Saccharomyces cerevisiae S288C: one gene and its partner. Changing the gene in region 1 together with any one later gene gives a genetic interaction. Each region holds a gene or a part of one and is shown in the gene's direction. Other genes may lie near its edges.

Evidence for each region.
Region 2: mutations in KAR5 (region 1) and HXT8 together harm fitness more than expected from each alone (negative genetic interaction), as found in Saccharomyces cerevisiae (one large-scale study listed by BioGRID).

The regions. Positions count from the first base shown.
Region 1 is NC_001145.3:392,662-405,352, forward strand, and holds KAR5 (Kar5p), read left to right. Parts: upstream 1-7,040; coding exon 7,041-8,555; downstream 8,556-12,691. Other genes in the region: cleavage polyadenylation factor subunit RNA14, read left to right, coding at 94-2,127; ARG7 (glutamate N-acetyltransferase), read right to left, coding at 2,393-3,718; RIM9 (Rim9p), read left to right, coding at 4,416-5,135; AEP1 (Aep1p), read left to right, coding at 5,242-6,798; SOV1 (Sov1p), read left to right, coding at 8,880-11,576; UBX4 (Ubx4p), read right to left, coding at 11,662-12,691.
Region 2 is NC_001142.9:17,996-35,541, forward strand, and holds HXT8 (hexose transporter HXT8), read left to right. Parts: upstream 1-8,891; coding exon 8,892-10,601; downstream 10,602-17,546. Other genes in the region: oligo-1,6-glucosidase IMA4, read right to left, coding at 1-541; hexose transporter HXT9, read left to right, coding at 1,502-3,205; YJL218W (acetyltransferase), read left to right, coding at 3,978-4,568; REE1 (Ree1p), read left to right, coding at 5,138-5,734; oligo-1,6-glucosidase IMA5, read right to left, coding at 6,346-8,091; YJL213W (uncharacterized protein), read left to right, coding at 14,168-15,163; oligopeptide transporter OPT1, read right to left, coding at 15,855-17,546. UniProt on the Saccharomyces cerevisiae protein: Probable glucose transporter.

The DNA.
Region 1 (12,691 bases):
CTTGTAATAATTAAGAAGAAAAGTGTAGCTTGTGTGATGAAAGAGTATTCTACAACGAAATAAAAGGCCAAACTGGAGAGTCAAACAAGAGATATGTCCAGCTCTACGACTCCTGATTTACTATATCCCTCTGCGGACAAAGTCGCAGAGCCTAGTGACAATATACATGGAGATGAACTACGACTTAGAGAAAGGATTAAAGACAATCCCACGAATATTTTATCATACTTCCAGCTTATTCAATATTTGGAAACTCAAGAGTCATACGCTAAGGTGAGAGAAGTATACGAGCAATTTCATAACACATTCCCGTTTTATTCACCTGCGTGGACTTTGCAACTAAAGGGTGAATTGGCAAGAGATGAATTTGAGACTGTTGAGAAGATTTTGGCTCAATGTCTTTCTGGCAAGTTGGAAAATAATGACCTATCTCTTTGGTCAACATATTTGGACTACATACGCAGAAAAAACAACTTAATTACTGGTGGACAAGAGGCGAGAGCTGTTATTGTCAAGGCATTCCAACTAGTTATGCAAAAGTGTGCAATTTTTGAACCCAAATCATCTTCTTTTTGGAACGAATATCTCAATTTTTTAGAGCAGTGGAAGCCATTCAACAAATGGGAGGAGCAACAGCGAATTGACATGCTCAGAGAATTCTACAAGAAAATGCTATGTGTTCCTTTTGATAATCTAGAAAAAATGTGGAATAGATACACTCAATGGGAACAAGAAATAAATTCCCTAACAGCCAGAAAATTTATTGGCGAGTTATCAGCCGAATACATGAAAGCCCGTTCCTTATACCAGGAATGGTTGAACGTTACTAATGGATTGAAAAGGGCATCTCCAATTAATCTGCGCACAGCAAACAAGAAAAACATACCACAACCAGGTACCTCAGACTCAAACATTCAGCAGTTACAGATTTGGTTGAATTGGATAAAATGGGAAAGGGAGAATAAGTTGATGCTTAGTGAAGATATGCTATCACAAAGAATCAGTTACGTTTATAAACAAGGTATTCAATACATGATATTTTCTGCTGAAATGTGGTACGATTATTCAATGTATATATCTGAAAATTCGGATCGACAAAATATCTTATATACTGCGTTATTAGCTAATCCCGACTCACCTTCTCTTACATTCAAGTTATCCGAATGCTACGAACTGGATAATGATTCTGAAAGTGTTTCTAACTGTTTTGACAAGTGCACTCAAACTTTACTATCGCAGTATAAAAAGATCGCCTCCGATGTAAATTCGGGTGAAGATAATAACACAGAGTATGAACAAGAGCTGCTATACAAACAGAGGGAAAAATTAACATTCGTGTTTTGCGTGTATATGAATACGATGAAAAGAATATCAGGACTATCCGCAGCACGTACTGTATTTGGTAAATGTCGTAAACTGAAGCGTATATTAACACATGACGTCTACGTGGAAAATGCATATTTAGAATTTCAAAATCAAAACGATTATAAGACTGCTTTTAAGGTTTTAGAATTGGGTTTAAAATACTTCCAAAACGATGGAGTTTATATCAACAAATACTTAGATTTTTTAATATTTTTAAATAAGGATTCGCAGATCAAAACCTTATTTGAAACATCAGTGGAAAAAGTGCAAGATTTAACCCAGCTGAAGGAAATATACAAGAAAATGATAAGTTATGAATCGAAATTCGGTAACTTAAACAACGTTTATTCTCTAGAGAAAAGATTTTTCGAACGGTTCCCCCAAGAAAATTTGATTGAAGTTTTCACAAGTCGTTATCAAATTCAAAACTCCAACTTAATAAAGAAATTAGAGTTAACTTATATGTATAATGAGGAAGAAGACAGTTACTTTTCTTCTGGAAACGGGGATGGCCATCATGGCTCTTACAATATGAGTTCGTCAGATAGAAAGAGACTAATGGAGGAAACTGGAAACAATGGAAACTTCTCCAATAAGAAATTCAAAAGAGACTCAGAGCTTCCAACAGAGGTTCTTGATTTATTGAGCGTTATACCAAAACGTCAATATTTTAATACAAATTTACTCGATGCGCAGAAATTGGTGAATTTTTTAAATGATCAAGTAGAGATTCCAACAGTTGAGAGCACCAAGTCAGGTTAACATTACGTTAATAAATAGGTATATATGAATATTTATACCAACACATCTATTATAATAGGCGAACCTCTGTATGTAATTAAGTAAAAAAAAAACGATGTGACAGGATAGTTAAGGTGCCTCGTACATAAATAAAAACGGAAATAGTTAATTCTTTCAAAAATATGGCAATAGCCAAACTCATTCAGAAGGTACAGGAAACACTCTGTTTCTGTGCGTTTATATAACCATGCTTATAAAAGAAAGATTGAACAAAATATACATGAATTTATGAACGGTAATCACCGTTAATTGTTACATATTCATGTGATAAATCACAAGTCCAAAATTGTGCTGCCTGATCACCGGTTCCCAAGTCGACAGACACTTCCAAATCATTCAAAGCCAATATTTCAGAAGCCCTTGTTTCATCGATCTCCAATTGTGGCACACCATTAGCGACAAGCTTCAGCTCACGAGGTTCTGAATTGTCGGTAGCAATAAAGCTAACATTAATTTTGTTGACATCTAGAGATTTTAAGTCATTCAGCTTTGCATACCCGATCGCGCACAATATTCTTCCCCAATTGGCATCTTGCCCATATAGTGCGGTTTTGACCAACATAGAGTTTGAGATTGATTCAGCAATTATTTTGGCGTCTTCAAAATGCAAAGCATTTTTAACGTTAACAGTAACAAACTTTGTCGAACCTTCACCATCGCGAACGACTAACTGGGCCAAGCGCTGAGCAAATTCTGTGACCTGCAATTTTACTTGTTCAAAATCTTTAGAGTCTTCGTTAATTTCTTTGGTGTCAATAGCACCGTTGGCCAACATGCAAATTGTGTCATTGGTGCTCATATCACCGTCCACCGATATACAATTAAATGAACGGGTAGTAGCGAAAGTCAGCATCTTCTGCAACGCCTTGCTTTCAATAGGAAGATCTGTAACTATGAAACCTAATAAGGTAGCCATATTCGGACAAATCATACCCGCGCCCTTTGCCATACCTGTCAAAGTATACTCAGTACCACTAGGTAATTTGAATCTAGATGTAACTAATTTTGGGAAAGTATCAGTAGTACAGATTGATTTGGCTACGTTCAACCAAGAGTTAAAATCACTGCCGAACTTTTCTTCTCCAAAAATTTTATTGATACCAGTGCTGATCTTGTCCATCTGTAGTCGTTGTCCAATAACGCCTGTAGACATGACTAGGGTAGAATTTTTTTGACCAATTTTATCGTTAACCAAATCAATCATTACTTGGGCATCTTTCATACCAAGATCACCTGTGACCGAGTTAGCACAACCGGAATTGACTACAATAGCGTTGATGTTTTTACCACGAGCAGTTTCAAGGACTTTTTTCGATGTCAAAACTGGCGCAGCTTTGAATTTATTGGTCGTGAAAACAGCTGCTGCGGTTGAAGGACGAGATTTATTGGTATTCAAGATTACACCCAGGTCCAGGCTCCCGTTTTTTTTGACTCCAGATGCAGTGTAGCCTACTTCAAATCCTTTAGGAAAAGAGCCCGTCTTGGGCACGTATAATGCATACTTATCTATAAGCTGCTTCGAGCGTTGAAGCAATGTTGATGATATTCTCATGCTATGTTGAATTTTGGACTTCTTTAAATAAAGGGAATAGAAGTATTGCTGATACTAGCCCAAAAATCGTCACCTTTGTGCGGCGAGCCGAGGATGAGGCTTTTATATACTCGACGACTAAAGAAGTTGGCAACGAATTACGCAGTGAGTCATCCTACCTGTCCATCGCAGTAGAAAAAGACCTTCGCCAAGAAAACACCGTCAATAATGATTGCTAAGCACTCTCACTTAGTACTACTATCAACGCTACCTTCAATTTGGGTCTAACCACGGCCCTATTGCATCACTACTCTCTTTATTCTATGATACAGCGTGGGGGTGAAGCCAAGAGCCCTGTGTTTTACTTCAGCATACCAACAAAGTATAAGATTACTTTTGCTATACAGCGATGAAAAATGTATTTTAATGTTTGTAAATTTATGATCTACTGACACGTCTCAGACAGATCACATTTACAACACAGCATGCTATGACTATATACAAAACATGACTTTTCTTTATCACTAAAAGTAACTGCCAATTTATTGTCGAATCTCGCTATAGTTTGATTTTCACCAGCGGCGCGCGCAAGTATAAGCTAAGAAACAATGAATATAGATAGATAGTGATGAGCGTTGAGAACCGGGAAATGAGTAGAGACGTCCTTCTAAACAAAGATTTATACGGTTGAGACAGATTCATTGAGGAAAAGAGGAGAATGGTTAGCATGATCCATATTGTGGTGTTTTTGCTAGCAATCACAACCATGTTCGAAATACTTCCGCTAATAACCGTCCCCGTGACCAAGTACCTATCGTTATCGTCATTCAGAAACCACTATTATGGCCTGTTTGGCTGGTGTGTACGTGGTCAAAACCAAGAATTGATGTGCACGAAAATGAAGATAGGATATGACAGTACAGATGTCGACTCCTCCGGGCACGTTTTGACCCTGCCATCGAACTCAAAAGTGGTCGTCTCCAATTTATTAGTGGTTCACCCGATTTCACTGGCATTCACAGGAACGCTATTAATTTTAGCAGTGATTATCATGGTAACTCCACTAGGGGACTCACCTGAGATGTTATTGTTCACGGCCCTTTTTTCGCTGCCAACGTTCATGCTATGTCTTTTATGTTTTTTGGTAGATATTCTTCTGTTCATCTCCAAACTGGACTGGCCCGGCTGGCTAATGCTAGCCGCTACTATTAGCGTAGCACTTTGTTGTTCCATGCTGTGGGTCATGAGAAGAGTTGTGTCAGTCAAAAAATATGAATCGCAACAGTCAATTGCGCATGCGTGCTCAATGGAACAGTACTCAATTTCCGACATTTACCAGAGTAAACAGAACGGCAATAGCTCAGAATATGAAGTGGCTCCAACACATACAGATAGTCTGATTGCTCCAGAAGTGACATATAGAGGGTTCATTGAATAAGTAACATCATGTGTCATTTTGCACGTTACATCGGTTTGCCAATCGGCTTCCAAATATTTGTACATTTTTTTCTTCCTCCATCACTATCTGTTAAGGGTCTTAGAAAATGATTACTACAGTGCAAGAAATCAGCAAATGGAGAAACCTGTGCTTCATTAGGATGCAATCTCGCAAATGGTACCCAGTACTTAAAAAGACTCCTTTAGTAGCGGACGGTCGAAAGATCATTAAACATGCCGATAAAGTTCCTCATCCGGAAGAAATAATTCACCCATTTTACCAACCAACAGCAATAGAACAATTCACGGCATGCGCTACGGAATACAATCCTAGCCTGCTTGATGGCAAAAAAATTGCTCCATCACTGATAAAACACCCGGTGAGCCTAAAAACCATACTAGTTGATAGCAAATTAAAGTTTGATGATATTAGGGGAGTGAATAAATGGTTGATGGAATTCGTTGCAAGACGACAACATCAAAGAAATATTGTACTTACACCTGCGAGCAAAAGCGTTAGATCTTTTCACGTTCTGCATTTGTCTTCAACCGATATTGCCAAATTAAGAGGTCTTGAAAATATATTATCAGAGATTGAAAACACGAATGATTTGCAATCCAGGGTCGAGTCCGTAAATAATGAACTACAGAATATTTTTGACCGCGACAGTAAACAGACAAGATTATTTTGCGAGAATATACTGGCTTATTTGATAAAGAATTATGGAAACTCGACTGAAAAACTTATACTACTAATAAATGTTACTGAGATGCAATTATATTCACGTTTAGACCAAATGAAGGCCATGAACATTATTTTATATAATATCCTTTGTAAAGTGGAAGCAAATGAAAACCCACCGTACAGTCCCACATTGGTTACCGCACTAGAAAACCTATTGGCAGCGATCAACAACAGATTTTTTCCAGGGCGTTGCGAAAATTCATTGCACCCAATAGTAATTGAACAACTATTATCATATTTCATTAAAACCGGCAATTTGAATGAAAGCAAAAATTTTTTGGGCCATTTAATAAAAAAGGGTATTTTACCAGAGGCTACTATCATTAATAGATATTTGGAGGCAATTGATGTTCATTTCGATAAAAGCACTAAGATTTTTGATATAAGATCCAAATTTGCATTCATAGCAGATCTTGCACCCATAATAGAAAATTATGGAACAATAGACCTGTTCAAATTTTTGATACCTATGTGCCGGCATTTCGACGAATTGTGTTCTCTGCTAAATATTATTCGAAAATCCAATAACGCAAAACGGGCTGTGGATAGCACCTTACCTATTTTTATCAAAAAAGTATTAACATTTACTAAAGATCCAATGATCAACTCCGGAAATCTATCCACTGTTTTCAATATAGTGAGCCCAATATATGGACAAAACGTGCCCAGCGAATTCGTGGAGAAATTTATACTGTCTTTTGCACTTCAAGGAAATTACACTATGATGGCTCATATGATAGATACATATAAGATCAAACTAAGTCATAAATACCAACTACAAATTATTAGGGCTCTCAAAAATAGTGAGAGAAATCACGCGCTTAAGAATACGGGCGCTGTAGGTTATAATAAGGAATTTAAAAAGTACTTCATCGAGAAATATTTGAATTGCACTGAACGAGAAGCTTTACGCCCATAAATCGTCTATATTAAAAAAAAGGCAGCATAAGAGCAACTCACTGCAAAGGGAATTGCGCATTCCACGCAAATAAACAATGTAAATAAGAATACGTACTGTAACTGTGTCACACTAGCGGGTTGTTTTATCATAATTGTTTGGGATTAATCCTGAACAAATTTTCTATATATAAACACTGGTTCGGAATACCAATGAAGTATACATATTCTGGTTCAACAACTGTTTCTATTCAAAAACTTTGAATGTTTGAAATGCGCTACGTCTATTTGTTTGCAATTTGTATTAAGTTTGTTTCAAGCTCCGAACTAGGAAAAATCAACAATCTGCTGCAAGGAAGATTGATATACACAGATAATTCCGTTGCGACAAATGTATTAGAATCCAAATTTCCATTCTTGAAATCAACATGTGTTAAAGACGCACTAAAATTATTTTTGCCACAATGTATTGCAAATGGACTTGAATCCATTGACGCTGAAACAAGGGTAGAAACGGCCATTAAACTTTCAATATGCGAGTTTCAGGCATCTGGCTTGGGCGAAATACCAGAAAATTGCATGGTTGACGACCTAGGATCAATGATGGATTGTATGTTTGAACTAGAATCATCTTCACAGTGGTGGACAACTTATAGTGGAAATTATCAGCGACTATCGAGTATTTGTTATGAAAATCTTCTTCCTTTTGAAAAAGAACAGATACTGAAACTTTTTCTAAATATCACTGAACTTTATGATTCATTTGGGGATGATGTCGATACTAAGTTAAATCATCTGATGTTTCAAATGGAGCAAGATTCTCAAAATTTTTTGGACGATCTGGCCAGGATGTTCCGCAACTATGACAATGAACTGCGAAATGCGACCGAAAGCAATCGAATAATCTTAGAAAACGACCTCTCATTTTTTAGAAATAAAGTGAATGATGTACTCTATGAAACTTCCGAACAACTAGAGGTCCAAATCATAGAGAAGAACAGTCAACTAATGAATGAAGTTGATACCGTCCATCATATTATGAGCGATCTAGCCGATGAGCTTGCTAAAAATGACATAAAATCTAAGATAAATGACTTGAAGGACGACAGCCTGAATAATTTACAGGACCTAGTGGAAATGTCCAACGACGTAAAAGAATATTACTCTAGAAATAACAAGTTAGTTAATACCGAGTTGGAAAACTTCTCGATGGGTTTAAAAAAACAGTTAGGAGGCATGTCAAAGGATCTTTCTGAATCACAAATGGAAGCTATAGAGCTCTTGCAAGGGTTCAATTCCATCCTTCATGATTCATTGTTACCATCCATGACGGATGAGATAGTACCTGAGATGACGAACTTCAAAAATACCTTACTACAAGAATGGACAGCTATAACATCTACACTAAATGGAGATTTTGCTTTATGGAATGAGGAGATTTTTTCAACTTTTAATGATATTTCAGAGAAACTGAATGGCACAAAAAAAAAATTAGACGACATTGAAATCAGAGTCTCACTTGTCCATAAAAATGTCATGACAATGATGAGGGTATTGGATTTTATGTGGAAAACTAGTAAAATGATTATAAGATGTGGGTACCTTGCAGTCAAGAATAAATACTACTGGTTACTGTGCTCCGTTGTGTGGATTTGGTCAAAATACCGTACGTCTCGAGTAAACGTCAAAATGATTCCTATTAAACGCTATTACCAATGGGCAGCTCTTCTACTTTCAATTTATCTAGGAGCTAAGACTGGCTCATTGATTGATTTTTAACATTACCGATGTAACAATATATGAAAGCCTATATATACATAGATGTATAGGTATATAGCCGCATTCAAAGTCTAGCAAAATAAATATTCTTTAAAAATTCAAGGACACCGGATCATGGTGGCCATAATACGGGCAAGTGAACCTAGAGAAGGTGTCCTACGTCACTATCCAAGTTAATTTGCTTAAGAGAGTTCGAGTGCAGCACCTACAGCTTTATCATTGAAGACGAAGCAAAAAGATCTTGAGATTCTATATCATGGGCACAGGTAGTATTCATTAGGTAGTAGTAACGTATTAAACAAGGCCATACTATATTTATAACTCATGTTCAAATACAACCGCTCACTCTGTAGCAGCGCTTTGATAGCAAAGTCTCAGATTCGTTTTTATAGATTGAAGCGGGCGCCATTGAATTATGCCTCCCATATACCTGAAGTTCTTAATAAGACCATCATAGGGCCAGACGAACCAGAAAAATGTCTCATTTTGAAAGGAAAAACATCAGAGGAAATCGAAAATAATCTTCTCAGTAATAAGAAATTTCAGGAGATCAATCCTCTTGATACTATCCAGGAAACGTTCATTCAATATCTGAAATTTTGTAATGAAACTAACTTTAAAAGAAGTAACAAGAATTTAAACAGATTAAAAAAAACCTTAGAAAGCAAGGACTCTAATAGCACCGTAAAAATTAATGCAGTTTTCAATTATTTGCTCGAAGAGTGTGATTTAGAAATCAAAAGATTGAACACGACCGGCCAAACCCAGGTATACAATGAAGAGAAAGGAAATGAAGATGACTTAGAGCAATCCATAATGAACGATATTTTCCGATCAGCACAAGAACAATTTGAAGATCAAGAGGGCCATATACCGTTAAGGAGTACATCATTTTTACTGGAGATTTTGAAAAGTTTTAATGAACGGTTTAATGGCATAATCAAACCGAAAGAGTCAATAACAGAAATGGTCACATTCAGCCAACTTGCTCAAGCTTTTGAAGTTGTTAAATTGATACCAGTGCAAGAAATGAAGGAGAAAGGGATTTACTTGGTCGGAAATTTACTTTATGGCACAGGGAAAGTTCGTTTAGATCCTATAAATGAGTCATTCTATATTGAATCCCTACTAGTTTTTGGAAACTATAAGGCTGCATACAGTTTATTTATTACCAATAAAGACAAAGTAAACGAGCGCTGGTGGAATGAACTAGGATTAATGATCACATTAAGGTCTAACCACTTGAGAAACTTCAGGAAACTTTTAGCCGAGACAGATGCAAAGTACTCAACAAAGTATTCTTATTTGAGCCCAAGAGTTACCAAATTGAGCATACGAAAATATTTGTCGATTGGCAATGTTACTGAAGCTAATATACTGACTGATCGATTTATTAAGTTAGTGGAAGAAGTTGGAATAATCAGAATGAAAGATGAGCAGGAGGAACTTCCCACGGGAGTTAAAAATTTTCAGAATGAGAAACATGCAACTGAGTTCTTAAATGAACTAGAAATACCATCGGATCATGATTATATCAGCATTGTTGATTTCCATCTTTATAAGAGAAATATTCCCATGGCGGCTCAACTTATCAGCAAGTACATGGAAATACCTGGAACGACACAAGAAGATGCCGCATTTCTACTTGTTAAAACCAAGCTAAATATGTTGAAAGATTTTGAAAAGCTACGAAACATTTTTGCTCAAAATAAAGATTATGTAGTGCCTGAGAATAATGTGAAAATGTTGCAAGAGGCATTTGAGAGCGTTATTACTAAGTATAACACTAATTCTCCAATATACAATGAATTGCTGTTTGAGAATGTTTCGGCCTTAACAAAAAGTATTGTATTAACTGATTTTCTGGAAGAGTTCATTACTAAACAGGCTTCTGGACAGTGGATGGAATTAAACAGTGTGTCACGTTCCAGAAAGTTTAATGGCTTGTTGAACATACTTCTCGGTACAGGTGAAGAAGAAAAAGCATATAATATCTTAAAAAAACTAGAAGAAGCCTCAAAGAAATCAAAAACAGATCCAGATTTACTCTATAATCAGTTTTATTCGGAAGTTAATGCATATCATTACGCTAAATTTGTTGAATTTTATAGTCTTCAAATTCAAAATATGAAGGCACAAAATACGCCCTCATTTAGAAAAAAGGAATTTAAGCAGAAAGTGAAGTCACTTTTAAAAAGAATGCAGGAGTCAGAGGTTATCCCAAATGCTGTTTTTTTGAGAGAAATACTCAATTTTTATGATAGCATGTATGACTTTAATTCAAGTTTTGAGATCATCAATCCGCTACTTGAATCCAAACAACAGGTGAGCTCTGAGTCTTCATTATCCACCTCAAACCCTTGCCGATTTTACAACCGTCGCATCATAACAAAACCGCTGTACCACAAGATTTGGTCTGTGTATTGCCATTATTATCATGTTTTACAAAATAATTCTAGGATTTTATCGAAAAAGTCGTCCATTGTAAAGAAATTAATAAAAAGGCAGATAAAGATTCACCCAACTTGTCACCCAAGAGTATTGTTCCAAATGACGGCAGAAAATGGTGAAATTTTGCCAGACAAAACTTTTTCTAAATTAATTGTGTCCACGTTCATGAAAAGCGGGGATTTAGAAGCAATACCTGCCATATTAACGTTTCTAACGAAAAAATTTGACTTGAATATTGATTACGATTTGAGTATGTATATTCTAAAGGGTTTGAAAAGACAATATTTACGAGATATTAGTAACATCAGTAAAGATGCTTGTGAGTACAAGTTACGGAAGGCGGAGCTAATGAATAATGAGTCAATCTTAAAAAACATTCCACAGGGTACAAATCAAGAGAATACAATATCCCATTTGATCAGGGAGATTTTGATCTTTATAAAATGGAAGGAAAAAAGTGATTGTTCTACTTTCTTGATGGTAGAAGATGCTTTTAAAGAATTAGGAACAGAGTTTACTTTACTCGAAGAATTAATAGAAGATGTAAATAAGTTAAAGATAAAAGCCTAAAAAAACGGATGCATTTTATATAATTTTAGCTATACGTGTACATATTTGTAATAAAGTTAAAAGAGGAGACTGTTTAGCTTTGTATTTATTTTTTACTTAATTTCATCCATTTAGGTACTCTATTTAAAGTCTTTTTGATACTTGTAGCGTTATCAGAAGGGCCCTGTGGATTGGATTTATTTATCGTATTAACTGATGGGGTTGTCCTCGTTTCGTGTGTGATTTTTTGTGCGTCTTCCAAAAGATGAGCCTTTATTAATGGGCCATTAGAATTTGAATTTGTTTCAAAAAGCAGCATTGTTTTAGAGCCAAATTCCAGGTCATCCAGTAGCTTCTTATCGTCTTTAGCCAAGGGTTTGAAAGGATGAGATTGGTTTAACGTAAAAGGCATGTTCTCATCGATCAGGAACTGCGACACGACGTTATAAACTGTACGCATGTCTTCATTGGGTTTGAATGCTATTTGAATATGGCTTCTATCGGGGAACTTGACTCTCAGCAAACACTCAGATATAGCCTTATTTTTCTTTGGCAAGTTGTTGGCTGATTGCTCTCTAAGTCTCTTTGTCAAAATAGGACCACCCAAAGTACCAGCCTTCGATGATAACATTTTTTGGTATTTCTTGGCTTGTTCTACTGTCAATTCATAATCTTCTTCATCCTCGATTTGATCCTTGATAACTGCTAATGGCTCATCCGAGGGCAAAAACACAGAAGGTTTATGTAGTTCGTGAGGTGGTAGTGAAGCAACCGTTTCCGGGTTCGTCATCGTAGGGGGAGTTTGTTTTGGGTGAATAGCGCTATTAGCGCTAATGCCCTCAGAATGAGATGTATTATTAAAAATCAATCTAACTGACGAAGGCTCCTGAATCCCTAAATTTTCGAGAGTCAAATTCTCATCCTTAATTGTTTTGAACTCTATTATCTTGGAAAAGACCTGGATCTTAAAATCATCTCCCGCAGCGCCGCTCATCTGTCGCAAGATAGGGGCAATTGGTTGGTCAGATGGCATTTCTTTAACCACGGAATCTCTTCCTGGGATTTGAAACCGTATTTTGATCGTATTGAATGGAATATCTTCGCGGTTGGTCTTATTCGCCACCGGAAAATTACTA
Region 2 (17,546 bases), on another chromosome or scaffold:
TGGAGCAAAACAAACGCAAGTAAAACTCTTGTGTCTTTTCATCGAACGTCCATGCAGAACCACCGAAGTAAGACCTCCAATTGTTTGGAGGAATTGGCTTGCCTTCGGCGTCATAACCCTTAGGAGGTCTCCAGAAGAACCAGTCACGTTTTGGATTGGTTTTTGAGGATCTGCTCTCTTTGAACCATTCATGTTCGCTGGAGCAATGGTTGATGACTAAGTCGGTGATAAATTTCATACCAAGCTTATGTGTCTTTTCGATCAAGGCAAAGCAGTCCTCGTTCGTACCGTAGGTTGGCCAGACCTTTTCGTAGTTGGCAATATCGTAACCCATATCATCTTGTGGCGAGTCGTAAAATGGCGAGATCCAAATGGCATCGGTACCAAGCTCTTTGATGTACTCCAACTTGGAGGCAATACCCTTCATATCACCCCAACCATCGTTGTTGGAGTCTTTGAAACTTGCGGGATAAATTTGATAAATTGTGGCCTCTTTCCACCACTTGGGTTCTGTTTCTGGATGTGCAGAAGAAATAGTCATTGTACGTTGCTTTCTTATCTCTATGAAAAAACTTTCACTTTTGTTTGTGTGTTTGGATTGGTGAATGGAACATATATTCTAGTACAGCTAATTCCTCGAGTGAAGAAGTCTTCCTTACTTATATATGTCTGTGGACGTCTTACGAATGATCGAAAATAAGAAAAGAACAAAGTAAATTTAGGATCTGGAAGGAGTGCTGTATGTAAACGAAGCTTTCAGTTTTAGGTAATGTTTGCACAACCTACATGATATAAGATGGTATGTTCTGCAACAGCGTGCCTGTCACTTGGCCCGTTATAGCAGATTATACCATCTGCAAGCAGACCCCATTATTGCATTGCCTCCGCAGCCTTGCGTATACATAGCCCTAAGACAAAATACGGAGCGTAAACAACCCTCGATCCCCGCAACAATTACATAACCATTTCTCCGCGGAATTACATAATCATTTCTCCGGGAAAATTACATAATCATTTCTCCGTGCGAGTTATAAGTGCTTTTCTCGTGCATTTCCCTGACACTTCACAAAACCTTCTTTTTCTTTTTTCTTTATTTCAGGGGAAATCAGTGCAAAACTAAAAAGAAAGAAATTTTGTGAAATGTAAACTCCAGGTGTCAAAAAATAAATTATATCCGTGGAAAATCAGGCGTCGGAAATTGTAGATGAATCCGCCTCCTCCACAATAAAAATGCTGACCACACGAGCAATGCATACACTCGGACACCTTCGTTCAAAGTATCAGTAGCAGTTCGACACACCCTATACTACTTAGCTCTTAAGGTCTAGGCTCATCTTTCTCAGTTCCTCTTTTTCGCTAAATAAAGGTATATAATGTCACAGCTGTGTAACTAAAGAACACTGTTGTTCCTATCTTTTTCTTCTTCTTTTTTTGGTATGAGTTGGAAAAAATAATCATTGCACAATTGAGTACTAAAAGCTTTCGTATCTTACCCAATATCATGTCCGGTGTTAATAATACATCCGCAAATGATTTATCCACTACCGAGTCTAACTCTAACTCAGTAGCAAATGCACCATCTGTAAAAACTGAGCATAATGACTCTAAAAACTCCCTCAACCTGGATGCCACTGAACCACCTATTGACTTACCTCAAAAACCCCTCTCTGCATATACCACCGTCGCAATCCTGTGTTTGATGATTGCATTTGGCGGCTTCATCTTTGGTTGGGATACCGGTACCATTTCTGGTTTTGTTAACCTTTCTGATTTCATCAGAAGGTTCGGTCAAAAAAATGACAAGGGAACCTACTACTTATCGAAAGTAAGAATGGGTTTGATCGTCTCAATATTCAACATTGGCTGCGCCATAGGCGGAATTGTCTTGTCAAAAGTCGGTGATATATATGGTCGTCGTATTGGATTGATTACAGTTACTGCCATTTACGTTGTAGGCATCCTAATCCAAATAACTTCCATAAACAAGTGGTACCAATACTTCATTGGAAGAATTATTTCTGGCCTAGGAGTGGGAGGCATTGCTGTCCTTTCCCCAATGTTGATATCTGAAGTTGCTCCCAAACAAATCAGAGGAACCCTGGTCCAATTGTACCAGCTGATGTGTACGATGGGTATTTTTCTAGGATACTGTACCAATTACGGTACCAAGAACTATCACAACGCCACTCAATGGAGAGTCGGCCTTGGTCTTTGCTTTGCCTGGACTACATTCATGGTTAGTGGAATGATGTTTGTACCAGAATCACCACGTTACCTGATTGAGGTTGGTAAAGATGAGGAAGCGAAACGTTCACTTTCGAAATCCAACAAAGTCTCAGTCGACGATCCAGCCTTGTTAGCAGAATATGACACTATAAAGGCGGGAATCGAACTTGAAAAGCTGGCAGGTAACGCATCATGGTCTGAACTACTCTCCACTAAAACAAAGGTCTTTCAGCGTGTTCTCATGGGAGTGATGATCCAATCGCTGCAGCAATTAACCGGTGATAACTACTTCTTTTACTACGGCACCACCATCTTCAAATCTGTCGGTCTAAAGGACTCCTTTCAGACTTCGATCATTATCGGTGTGGTTAATTTTTTCTCTTCATTCATAGCGGTATACACCATTGAGAGGTTTGGACGCCGTACGTGTCTATTGTGGGGTGCTGCTTCTATGCTATGCTGCTTTGCTGTGTTTGCCTCCGTCGGTGTGACAAAGTTGTGGCCTCAAGGAAGCAGTCACCAAGACATTACTTCTCAGGGCGCCGGTAACTGTATGATTGTGTTTACTATGTTCTTCATTTTTTCGTTCGCCACCACTTGGGCAGGCGGCTGTTACGTTATTGTCTCAGAGACGTTTCCTCTTAGGGTCAAATCAAGAGGAATGGCAATCGCAACAGCTGCAAACTGGATGTGGGGTTTCCTGATTAGTTTCTTTACCCCATTCATTACCGGGGCAATCAACTTTTACTACGGTTATGTATTCTTAGGCTGTCTGGTTTTTGCATACTTTTATGTCTTTTTCTTTGTCCCAGAAACAAAAGGCCTGACGCTGGAGGAGGTGAATACTATGTGGCTGGAAGGTGTGCCAGCATGGAAATCAGCCTCATGGGTGCCACCAGAAAGAAGAACCGCAGATTACGATGCTGACGCCATAGACCATGACGATAGACCAATCTACAAGAGGTTCTTTTCCAGCTAATCTTCCGGTTTTTAGTAACTGGAAAAAAATACATGAACTTAATTATTTATTATATACAATATTTACTTTTTTACGCCTTAATCCTTAACGGACTATTTGTTATGCCTTATAGAACTAGAAATTATATGATAAACATGAGCTACACGAGTTGACAGGGTGAACAGATTACTATAGCATCTTTCTCTCATGAATAATTTTTAAAATGTATAAATTTTGTAACGTTCCGAAGGGTGGAGTGAAATTCCATTCAAGAAACCAAGCATTGAGACAGAACAGTACAGAGTTCAGTTGTTGCGGACCGAGAATTGTAACAAGTAGCCCCAGAAACATTCATATGACGTCTGTTTCAAATTAAGCTTAGTAAAAGTACACATTTACCATAAAAAAATAGTACCAAGTCGGTGGCCTGATATCCTTATTTTCCTTCTGCCAATTGGGCAAGTTGGTACTAATATTTTAGGTGACACTGCCACTTTATTGTTATGGATTGAAATTTCTTAAATGTTCTCACAATCGGCCATAACGCTATTTCTCCGACGTAACCTCCTGTCATAGTGTGCCGTGCCTGAATAACTTAAAAAATTAAAGTTTTCAATGTGCCCAAAAAAATTCACAAATAGTACGCGCTCGTTAAACACCCTGTGACGCTGGGCCAGGCACTATTTAGCATTACTTCGAAAAGACGCAAGTATAAAGAGTGAGATCTCACGTACTACAACAAGAACATAGAGAAGCATTCTAATAAGCATATAAACAAGGCTTCTAGAGAAAAATGGGCGTATTAGAAAATATAGTACCTGGTGAGCTTTATGATGCGAACTATGATCCAGATCTTTTGAAAATTAGAAAAGAGACTAAAATAAAATTGCACGAATACAACACCCTTAGCCCCGCTGATGAGAATAAAAAGAGCCAGGTAATAAGAGAATTACTTGGTAGTTGCACTGATAACTTTATAATTGAACCGCCGTTTTACTGTGATTACGGAAGTAACATCTATATCGGAGACAACTTTTACGCCAATCACAATCTTGTTATATTGGATGGGGCCAAGGTAGTCATCGGTGACAACGTATTTATCGCCCCTAATGTTGGTATTTATACGGCAGGTCATCCAATTGACGTGGAAAGACGGCTTCAAGGATTAGAATATGCCATGCCTGTGACCATTGGAGACAATGTATGGATTGGAGGTGGAGTGTCAATAATTCCTGGAGTAAATATAGGTAAAAACTCCGTGATTGCCGCCGGTAGTGTTGTGATTCGTGACATACCAGAAAATGTAGTGGCAGCAGGTAATCCTTGTAAGGTGATAAGAAAGATCACTGAAAAAGATAGTACAACTACAAACTATCGAAAATGATGGATCCACTTTCTGGAGGAATTATCGAAAGCAAGTGTTGTCTTCTATGATTATGTACCGTATTTTCTTATAAGAATAAATAAAAAGCTAGTTCAGTTTTAGTCGACTAAATACGCAGAGAGATTATTAATTATTGGTATATGTTCTGGTTTAAGTTGCTCATTCTCAACTCGACTGTGTATAGTAGCTTCTTTCTGGTATAATCTATCTTCGAGGAGAAAATTATAGTTTACAACTTATGTAAAACTGCTCAAGTTCCAACCGTATAGAAAACGCGTGGCTGGTAGCTTTATGTTCGGATTTGAGAAATTTTCGGGGAAATAAGTACCGTTCTAATTTTTCAGCGCAAATTAACATGCGGAGAAACTTTAAACTGAAAATATGGCCACCTGCATGCGTCCATATGAAAGGGTCATCAAATAGCCTCGAACAAAACAAGTAACATTTTCGATGGAGTTAGAAAGGGATGATCCTATACGCACAGATTTCCTAGGTATTTAACCTGACCTAATATTAACAAAAGTCCAAGTGACGGCTTCTCCATCAAACAAGATAAATTACCAAACACAATGGTCGAATCTAAGAATACTGAATTATCGCAAGGAACATGGCTCAATAAGCCAAAATCTGTTTTTCAAGAGGCAGGAAAAGTCACTCTGGAAACAGATGAAAAAACTGACTTTTGGCGTGAAACATTTTACGGATTTACCCGTGATAGCGGTCATTTTTTGGGAGTAGAGACAGGTAGTGCTTTTACTGCACAAGTCCGTGTTCAGGGAAGCTACGAGAGTCTTTATGATCAGGCTGGTATCATGGTTCGTATAGATGATGGACATTGGCTCAAAGCTGGCATAGAAATTTCTGATGGCCACGCAATGCTAAGCAGTGTTTTGACAAATGGAAAATCAGATTGGTCAACTGCTGTTTATGGCGGAAATGCTCGCGATTTCTGGCTTCGTGTTACTGTTGAAAAGGGCGTTTTGAGGATTCAGGTGTCCTCTGATAAAAAAACATGGCCGTTAGTACGTTTGGCTCCATTTCCAACTTCTGACCATTACCTTGTTGGACCAATGGCTTGCACACCTGAGCGTGGCGGATTGAAAGTTACTTTCTCGGAATGGAGTCTCACAGCTCCTTTAGGAAAAGCTTTACATGATTTGAGTTAGTTCACCTATATATCAATATATAAAGAGGGGTTTGCTTTTGTTAAGAACAAGGCCTGCACCTCACTAAGATCTGTTGATTTGGCACTATGCTTTTTAAAATTTTGTTTATACTCAATTTCGTCAAGATTTTTTTTACTAGTACAATCCATACAGTTAACAAAATACTGGGCAATAAGGCGTGCATACTACGAAATTTTTAGTTTTGTTATAATAAACGACTTTTAGCTAGTGTTTTAAGATAAAGTGACGAAAGTTAGGGTGAGAATAGTCGAATGTATTTACTAATTATTGAATTCGTGGTAATTAGTACTTATGATGATGGGGTTTAAAGGGCTAAATTTAGACAATAGAAACAGTAATAATGATGTTTTCTATTTTTCTGCTGTACGTTGCTTTTTATTTTATATTTCTTCGGAAAAAGGTTCAGTGAATTTTCTGTCTTCTATATACATATATAAATTGCAATTGAAAATAGCGTACAGCGTAAGTTAAGTATCCAATGCTCACATATGAAAAGCAAAAGTAAAAAGAAATATACAAGTTTATTATTCATAAATATCGGCATAACTATTTGTTTCGAAAGATCAGTACGTTTATGTTAAATGTGCTCGTTACTTCAACAAGTAAAGTCTTCCTTCCCATGGCTGCAAGGTGCGGGAATCACCATTTGAGTTTGCATAGTTGCCAAAAAACATGGTGTAGGAGGCCTCATTATCAGGAACTGAAAAGTCCGTATTATCGCTACTGAAATTGAAAACAGCAAACATTTTTTTGTTATCTGTGTCCTTTGTAAACATGAATAGCTTGTCATTATCAAGATCAATGAACTGAAAGTTATGTCCATAAACAAGGATATCTTTGTGCTCCTTTCTAACTTGTAAGGCCTTTTTCCAGAAAAAGAAGACTGAGTTTTTATCTTTTAACTCAGCTTCTGCGTTGATTCCGTCTCTAAATGATTCATTCATGTCAATCCATGGTTTGGCATCCTTCGAGAAACCTGCAGAAGGCTCATCAGCACTCCATGGGAATGGTGTTCTCCCATGATCTCTAGAGATCAAAGCTAATGCTTCAAAAAACTTTTTCATCTTTTCAGAATCTTCACCATAATCACGTTTAATGGCGGCATATGTACCAGTACCTTCAACGCATTTGATTTGCTCAATTTTTCTGTTTTTGAAGTTGGGCATACCCAATTCTTGTCCTTGGTAGATAAAAACAGTACCAGTCAATGAAATGATGAGAGTAGCCAACATCTTGGACGAAATCTCACGCCATTTAGGAGAATCTGAGCCAAAACGCGAAACGCTACGAGGTTGATCATGATTCTCCAAATAGATGGTCGACCAGCAATCTGTGTTTTCGATAAACAGAAAGCTTTCAGCAAGAGCCAGCTTAAAGTCTTTTAAAGTAAAGGGAATAAGTTCGTACTTGCATTTTGGGTTTTCACCTACTGAGGTGTGCTTGAAGTTGAACATCATATTTAGTTCTCCTTCTTTGGCACTGGTATAAACTCTGAAGTCGTCTTCATTCCCGATACCAACTTCTCCAACAGTCATGATTTCTTTACCCTCTGGAACTTGCGAGAGCATGTAGTTATGCATTTCTTTATGATACTCATGGATACGTGGCCCATTTATGAAAAATTCAGTTCCTTTTTGGTAAGGAACTGTAGGATCAGTGATAGGAGCATCGGGTAGGCCCTCAACCTTAGAATACATGCTGCCTACGTCAATACGAAAGCCATCAACGTTGTGACGTAGCCAATAGCCCACTGAGGAGTCATAAATGGCTTTACGGCACTCTTCATTTTCCCAATTGAAATCAGGTTGGCCAAGAGCAAACACATGCAGAAAGAACTCACCAGTTTTTTCGTCATATCTCCAAGCAGATCCACCAAAGAAAGATCTCCAATTGTTGGGAGGAATTGGATTACCTTTCTCATCGTAACCCTTTGGAGGTCTCCAGAAAAACCAGTCACGCTTTGGATTAGCCTTAGAAGATCTACTCTCCTTGAACCATTCATGCTCTTCAGAACAGTGGTTGATAACCAGGTCAACAATAACCTTGATACCTCTCTTATGAGCTTCTTCTATCATTTGGAAACAATCCTCATTGGTACCGTAACGTGGCCAAACCTTCTCATAGTTGGCAATATCGTAACCCATATCTTCTTGAGGAGAGTCATAAAATGGGCACACCCATATCGCATCGACACCTAATTCTTTGACATAGTCAAGTTTGGAGGTAATCCCAGCTAAATCACCCCATCCGTCATTGTTGGAGTCCTTGAAACTAGCAGGATAAATTTGGTAGACGGTGGCTTCTTTCCACCATTTAGGATTATGGATGATCGTCATGTTTTTCTTTTCAATATTGAGCACTTTCTATATAGTCATCAAGAAACAGTAGTTTTTCGCACCAAGATATGTGAACAAGTGTCCTAATTTATAATTCGTCAGACGTTTATGAACTTACTCCTCAAAACCGTATCAATTACCGTAGCGGTAATGGAAGATACAATTCTTAAGTGTGAATTACTTTTTCCGGTGAATTAGCTTCTAGGATTGTGACTATTTCAATGGACAATGTTGCAAATAGTTTCAAATATTCCCGTGTTTCTCCGAGGATTCTCCACGGAGGAAAAATAATGCAAAGTTTATTTCCCCGTTTTCTTTTCTCCGTCTAGGCATTTACGCTTTCACGCAACTTTATTATATCACCTCCGCGGGGATTCAACAACGAGGTATGTGGAGAAGGAGAGAAATTCCAGAGAAAGCAGCCTAGAGCATCCTGCTGCAGCAACTTATAAACGTATCTCACAGAAAAGGCCGGAGAAAGTTCTTGAAATGTGTAATTTAGCCTACCTGCCAAGCGGCTGGAATTATCCCGAGAATAATTCCGCGACCGGGCCTGTTCCTGAACTCTAAGAAGTTTTGGAATTTCCGAACGCTTCTTCGCATGAAAGACATGAACTCTTAAGTAAAATAATATGAACTGGCATGGTCGTAATCTTTTGGACGACGGAATATCATCGCTAACCATTGTAAGGGATGAAGCTTGACTAGATATATTTAAACGACCATTTTTGTTTCATTCTTATTTTAGATTGCATTTTTTATAAGTCACTTTTAGTTAGCTCAGAACGCCAGCAAAAACCATGACTGATCGTAAAACCAACTTGCCAGAAGAACCGATTTTCGAAGAGGCAGAAGATGATGGCTGCCCTTCGATAGAAAATTCTTCACATCTGTCAGTACCTACAGTGGAGGAAAACAAGGACTTTTCCGAGTATAATGGGGAAGAGGCAGAGGAAGTTGTTGTTCCAGAAAAGCCTGCTTCAGCCTATGCTACTGTTTCTATCATGTGTTTATGTATGGCTTTCGGTGGATTTATGTCCGGTTGGGACACAGGTACGATTTCTGGTTTCGTCAATCAGACTGATTTTTTAAGAAGATTTGGTAATTATAGCCATTCCAAGAACACTTACTACTTATCTAATGTGAGAACTGGGTTGATTGTGTCCATCTTCAATGTGGGAAGCGCCATTGGCTGTCTTTTCTTGTCTAAATTGGGTGATATTTACGGCCGCTGCATGGGTTTGATTATAGTTATTGTCGTTTATATGGTTGGTATTGTCATTCAAATTGCCTCTATAGATAAGTGGTATCAGTATTTTATTGGAAGAATTATCGCTGGTATAGGTGCTGGTTCCATTAGTGTTCTTGCCCCGATGCTTATTTCGGAAACTGCGCCAAAGCATATCAGAGGTACGTTGCTAGCTTGTTGGCAATTGATGGTGACTTTCGCAATTTTCTTGGGTTATTGTACCAATTATGGTACCAAGACTTACTCGAATTCTGTCCAGTGGCGTGTTCCGCTTGGTCTATGTTTTGCATGGGCTATTATTATGATTGGTGGTATGACGTTTGTTCCGGAATCTCCTCGGTTTTTGGTGCAAGTCGGTAAGATTGAGCAAGCTAAAGCTTCTTTTGCCAAGTCGAACAAGCTTAGTGTTGACGATCCTGCTGTGGTTGCAGAGATTGATCTTCTTGTTGCTGGTGTGGAGGCAGAAGAAGCAATGGGAACTGCTTCATGGAAGGAATTATTTTCGAGAAAGACTAAAGTTTTTCAACGTTTAACGATGACAGTCATGATTAACTCTCTGCAGCAACTAACCGGTGACAACTATTTCTTCTACTACGGTACTACTATCTTCAAATCTGTCGGTATGAATGACTCTTTTGAGACTTCAATTGTCTTGGGTATTGTGAATTTTGCTTCTTGCTTCTTTTCACTTTATTCTGTTGATAAGTTGGGCCGTCGTAGATGTCTTTTACTTGGAGCAGCCACCATGACGGCGTGCATGGTTATTTACGCCTCCGTTGGCGTCACAAGACTATATCCGAACGGTAAAAGTGAACCATCATCTAAAGGTGCTGGTAATTGTACGATTGTTTTCACGTGTTTTTACATTTTCTGCTTTTCCTGCACCTGGGGACCTGTATGTTATGTGATTATTTCTGAAACATTTCCATTAAGGGTGAGATCCAAGTGTATGTCCGTTGCAACAGCGGCCAACTTATTGTGGGGGTTCCTAATCGGGTTTTTCACTCCTTTTATTACTTCGGCAATTAATTTCTACTACGGTTACGTTTTCATGGGTTGCTTAGCGTTTTCATATTTTTACGTCTTTTTCTTTGTTCCAGAAACAAAAGGTCTAACTTTAGAAGAAGTTGATGAGATGTGGATGGACGGTGTATTACCTTGGAAATCTGAATCCTGGGTACCAGCTTCTAGAAGGGATGGTGATTATGATAACGAAAAATTACAGCATGACGAGAAACCCTTCTACAAAAGAATGTTTTAGACCGGTGAAAACACACGCAAGCAAACTTCAAAGTACATTGATAAATAATGTCCAATGCCCTCTGTAATATAGGGGCTTTTTAATTCCTAAGACTGATTCGATATATTAAACACCAGGGCTACTGAAGACTGACAGTCACGTTGAGTCCTATTATATCATTTTACTCACAGAAGATTTGGTAATATGATACTTAGATGGGCTTAACAACAAAGTGTTTTCTTGATGTTACTGCCCATGAAAAAAAGCAAATCAAATTAGTAGGCGGATTGTTAACTTTGTTTATTTTGAAACCCGTCAGGACTACCAAAATATAACAAAGTATTGATTATCGTCAACGCTTTATAGATCACTTTTTTTTTTTTTTGAGGAACCGATTAATTAATACATCGTAGCCTCTGCTTATTGCATAACACAACAAAAAAATACAATAATACGCAACTTTTGTTTATAGAAAAATAAAAATGGAACATATGATATTCTCTGTTCGTCATATGATAACTTAAGCACTTTCGTGTGTACATAGGTATTCTAGTGCATTGGAATGAGATCAATTATGATTTCCTAACCCAGAATTTATATTACTAATGATTTCAGAATTAATAAAAGCTGAAATAAAAGGAGTAGCAATGTAATAGGAAATAAACGAGGGCACATAGAAAGGAAGAAGAAAAATTACATTATGTGGAATTATTGATTCCCTTGGCAATTTCCCATAGTCTCATGAAAATTCCTGGCCTATTCTGTATTCATAATTCCATACTCTTTTTTAACAATGAAACTCCGGTAATTACCACAATATTTACTTATATCTCAATACGAACGCATGTTCTCTTCGAGGAAGACCAGCATTAGCGCTAAGCGCTAAGCGATGAGTTGACTTAATTTTTAAAAGGACGATGTTGGCGCGTTAGTGCATAAGAAAGTCAGCAAATCCCTTTAAGCTGAAAACCTTGATATATTTCTCGGCCTTTAATAATGGCGCAACTGATTTTAATTATCTTTGAATGGCTTATCTGTAACGAACATGTGTTACTAAACTAGTAGTAAGTTAGAAATACTGTTTATCCAGAATATGTAAGTTGGTGCTTCTAAAGTAATATAAGACCGCTTTAATTTGTTGTAACCTCTGAAATACAGGTAACCGCTGGGTCATCTCCTATCTAACTTTTGGTAAAAATGACATCGAAAAGAACAATTTTCGAAATATTCAATTTGTTCGGGTGTCGGTTTAATGCTCAAGGCCCCAATATTTCATAATAGGATTCTAAGAATTGCAGAAAATTCAGCTATGTTTCACCCATTTTGTTATTGGTGAAAACCGCCAAATCGATATCGATATAGTCACATTTTAGAGCGTGCCGATAGTCTCTAAACTTACACGAACGTCATTATTTGTAAGTAGACAACTGGGAATTTTAAAAAAGGTTGAGAAGATTCGTTTTATAAAATATGACGTCGTAAAAGAAGAAAGTGACAATACTGTTGCTGCGGGTTAAAAAAATAATTCTCCTACAAGCTTGAGACCTTTATTACAATTCCTACCTAAATTGGCTCTTCAGGGGGGTTTTCTAGGCAGGTATCTCTAGAATTTACTCAAGAAGTTTATTTTCTAGTGCCAAAAAGTCTACTGCTGATATTCGCTTCTACTGATTAAGAGCTGCTTTAAACCATCTTGTTGCAACATTGAGTTTGGACTTAAAGCCTCAAGTTGTTAGTGATGTTGCTTTTCAGGATGACGTGTAGTTGATCATCTTACAGAAAAGGAAGCAATGGTACGTATAAGATATTATTTTAAATGAGAAGTAGCTGGTCTTCAAATCACAGACATTGTGATGGCAAAGCAGTGATAAATAAAGTTTTCACACCCAAAGCAACATCTTTCCAAACCGTTTGTGTGCCGTGGTGAACAGATAGAAGAGGGCACTGTTATTCAAATTTTGAGGGTCGGGAGAATTAACTCGTTAATTATTCCTGGTGTCGAATTTGCGTCATTCCTAAACTTGGATATTCTTATATGGCAAAAAAAGAATTTTTTATGCCACCAACACGACGGCATATTCTGGAGTGATTATAGCCACTGCTAACAAGATAAGGCGGTAACACCCGATTGTGCAGATGTCCTCATTTATCCTGTTTCCGAGCATTTGATTAACCGTCTCTGTGAGACCAGTTAAAGACCTCTCTCAAGAAAAATATGTAAATTTTTTTCAGCCACTTTATCGGCACTGGAACGAAACGATATGGTATTCCCAGTATCAGCCACGGCCCCGTGTAAGCCGTAAAGTAAACAAAAATTTTTACCACTAATTTCGTTGCGTATCAATTTATACTATTCTTTGTGAAAACCTACACAGACTACCAACAGAAATTTTTTTGGTCAAACGAGTCCAGTCTGGTTATTCGCTGGTTCATGTAAAATGTTAGCACCATCTACAGATTCCGAACATTAAAATCGTATTATGCATAATATAGACATTAATGAGCAATCTGTTCATTACCCCCTTATCGTATGGCAACAGCTATTCCTGATGTAATAGTGATGTTATATTGCTTTCGCCATTATTAATTTTGAGGAAGCTTTCCAAACAGATTACATAGCTAACTAATTGCAATTTTGCGACGCCATAAGGATACGCGATTTCCTCCTTTTCTTTTTCGCGTTGTTCTGTGCGCTCTTTTTTTCAGCCAAAAAGGGTTCCTGAACAAAAAGACCCTGTTTTTTTTCTGCCTGTTAACTCTGATCTTAAAAAGTTACCAATTTTCTAACATTTCTCAATAAAGACCCTTCGATAAACAAGATTCTTGAGAAATAAAAATTTTTGTGACGTTTACTTTTGAAAGTCCTTGAAGAATTCATTACTAATAGAGAAAAAATGGTGATAATTTTTTTACTTCACCTCCTTTCTACTATCCCTCTTATTCGGATTATCTAGCTTTAACTTCGCCAGTTTTTTCTTGACACACTTCACAGATGATGGTGCCTTCATGTCGGCATGACGCATTATCTCCATACTAAAAAATGATCCGACAATATCTCCTTCCTATTTGATCAGCCTCTTATCGTTCGTAAACGACGTAACTTGACGGAGAACGGAGAACTTGTTGAATAGAGAAGAGTATGTCGGTAATTGATCTCCGATATGAGCGAATATAAAAGCAACATATTTGCTGGTATGTAGCGTAGCTTTTCTTTCCAATTGACGGGACATCGAAACAGTATATTAACCGAGATAAAAATGACGACTTATCAAATCGATGTCAATGAAGGAATGAACAAGTCCCTGGCCGACTTGGTGGCACCATAGCGCCCAGAGCCACTCAAAAATTACTGTATAAGTAACACTAATTTGATAGATGTGGTAAGCGGTGTCAGTCTCCTCGGAGCTTACATCTTCATAGAACAGGGTGTCATTTCCAAGGTCGAATTTGGTTCTGAAAAGCCGGTAACCGTTGATGAAGTTGCCTTTGAAATTATTGACGGCACCGGTAAGTATGTCACTCCAGGTCTGATCGACAGTCATGTCCACATTGCGTCGGTTGCAGGAGAGGCTGATCTGACCAAGTTAATGCTGATGCCAAAGTCAGTTGCATTACTCAGAATAAGATACACTTTGGAAGCCGCTCTGGCAAGAGGTTTCACAACAGTGAGAGACTGTGGGGGTGCAGAAGGCTTTCTGAAAGCAGAGATTCGTCAGGGATCCTTGAATGGTCCCAGATTAATTACGTGTGGACATGCCATTTCCCAAACTGGTGGTCATGGCGATCTGAGATCTGGTGCCCTACCTGCTAGTGCCTTTGACAGCTGTTCATGCCACTTTGGTCAAGTTGGTGTTGTAGCAGATGGTGTTCCCGAATGCTACAAAGCGGCCAGAGAAGAGTTTAGAAGAGGTGCAGACTTTATTAAGATTATGGGTGGTGGAGGTGTGGCCTCTCCAACTGACAAAATATCAAACAAACAATTTTGCGACGACGAAATAAAAGCACTTGTAGATGTCGCAAATAGTTACCACACATACGTAACAGCACACGCCTACACTGCGGAAGCGATACAAAATTGTATCAAGTTAGGTGTTAAGGGTATCGAACACGGAAACTTATTAGATGAACGTACCGCAGAGCTTATGGCAGAATTGGGTTGCTACTTGACTCCAACACTAGTTACCTACAAAGTGATGGGTTCTGATCAATTTAGTGCATTCTTGGGACCTGAAAATAGTAGAAAAAATACAGAGGTGCTTTACAAAGGAATTGATGCAATGAAAATTGCCCAGAAAAAAAAAGTTAAAATTTGTTTTGGTTCAGATTTATTGGGTCCTCTATATGGTTATCAAACGCAAGAGTTTCGTATTAGAGGGAAAGTTCAAACGACACAAGAGATTTTGCTCTCAGCAACTGTTACTCCTGCCGAAATGAACGGATTAGGCGATAAATTGGGACAGATTAAGCCAGGGTTCATTGCTGACCTACTGATGATGAAATCAAATCCGTTGGACGATATAACGATTTTGGATGAACCCGAGAGCAACATACTATTTGTCATGAAAGAGGGAAGGATATATTGATGTAGTTATAGTTGTTTTCACAGTCAGCATTATTTCTGAATGCTAGAAGCCTTTTTTTTTTTGAAGTCATAATAAAATATTTGGCTTGTAAATTTAAGTATTGAAGTCAAAATATCCTACTTATATCACAGTGAAATGTGAGGTGGATATGGCCCTTTAGGGCCCTTAATTTTACAAGTTACAGAATCTTTTTTTTTTTTATAGCATTTGTAAGGTCCGTGTATTCAGAAAAAAATCCAAGCTTAAAAAAGTGTATATAACATTTGGTATCTGAAATACGGATCTATCATAAAATAGAACACCTCAAGGAGGTATAAATTTTAAAAGTTTTTTTATTGTATGCTCGTGCCCGTTTTTTCTTAAAGTCGGAATTTGTTATCGAACACTTGGCATGCGCTAAAGATCGTTAATTTACAAAAATAAGGCGGATGAGATGCCTCCGCTAAATATTGCAGGGGTCGCTTTGAATGTTTCGACCAAAATGTGCTCTAAAATATAGAAATATCATTATTAACAGTATAATTAAACGTTGAGATAAAGTATTTCAAGTTAAGCAATATGAAAGGATGACAGAAAAGAAAATAATTTCTTAATATTACAGAATATGAACTAAAGTTTGCTATTACGTGTGCCAAATTTTGAATTAAAACTTGATATGAACCTCTGCAGGTTTATTATTATGTTTTCATGATTACCACCATTTATCATAACCAAATGTCTCACCTTTCTTTAAGGTATAAAATTTTTTATAATCATTATCATACGTTCTTTTCCAAACGTTGTTTCCCCACCAGCTGAGCTTACCACCTGGGTACTGTACACACAAGAAGATGATGACGACGGAGATTGCCACACCTGCTTCAACACCGGCCCCCATGACGAAATTGTACTTATTGAACCAAGCTCTCCATCTTTTTCTTATCAAGTTTAGGCAGAATGACATTGCAAAAAATAATGAGTAGTTATAAGGTGTGCTTGGTGGAATATTACCTGGGCCTGTGAAAAATACAGGAGTATGAATGTGCTTAGCAAATTTAAATTTAGGGAATTTCCATTGAACAGCATAAACGGCTAGTGGGAATAGCAAACCAATCAAGAAGAACCACATCAGCGGATTATAAATGCGCCCTGATGAGAAAAGATACTTTGGCAAAGACCAGATAATGGAAGCATTGAAAACCGTGCGACCATTAGCACAAGTGAAGCCATTTGGTTGATCGGTGGTACATAAGCCATCGATATTATGCATCATCCATTCCTGGACACCAACGTTAACCATGCCTGATATGATAGTGGCATAGATTTGAACGGCAAAGATCAAACGAGGGGAAACCTTCATGTACATGGCTAATTTCAAATCTCTACTCAAATTCAAGCCTTGTCTCATGACAATAAATCCGTATAGCTTGAATAATAAGTTTGCCATTGGTCTTAAAGGCAGCATATAACCGCAGATCAATTCTGTGATAATATTCAAACCTACGTGTTGGTTAGTCATTGCTTCCAAGATACCTTGCGGGATGAAATTTACAAGGGAAATTAATATTGCAATAACAAATGCCCAAGCTGGGAACTTAGTATCGAAACAGCACACTGCTACAAATCCTAAACCGATCATGACAATCTGCAAAAGTAAATACCACCAATCGGGACAATCCTTATAGTTCTTGGAGTAGATTCTCATGTGAATGTCAGTGCCACCATTTTTACGGTCTTTAAACTTGGCGACAATATCTTTACCGTGGTATAAGATGCAGTGGACAAAAACGGCGATAACAGCGGCAAAATTTAAAGCATACGACAAAAGATAGGAAAATGGAACGAATACCGGTGAGTATTCCTTATATTTCTCAAGATTAATGGAATAATCCTCGTTAAGAATCTTTGTTACGTTGTATTTGTTTTGAGTGTTGTCATAAGTAGAACCTGAAATGACGGGCATGTATTTGGCATACCAGGTATTCGTAAAATAAAGACATGGCAGCACTATGACGAAGAATATCAACACTGATGCATAGGTGTTGGCGGAGACGTAGAATGGTGTGGCGAAAACAGAGCCGGACATGGCTTGGGAAACCTGGGTGTAGTCAAATGTAATTGGCAACGCACCGAGACCACTTTGAGTACCAAAGATTGTGTTAGCGATGAAATTGTGTCTTGTCTTCGACCCCCATAGGATAACGTTGAAATAGGACAGACCGGTAAAGAGGAATCCAGGTACCCAATACCAGATGAACGATCCGATAAGGACGATTAAGAAGAACCTGTAACGGGGCATCGTCCAACCATTTGCGACTGTCTTTTCAACTTTTCTCGAGTGCAACGAATCAAACAAGGACACTGAAATTAAAGTCTGAGGCCAGATAGAGCTTGCAGGGTTGAC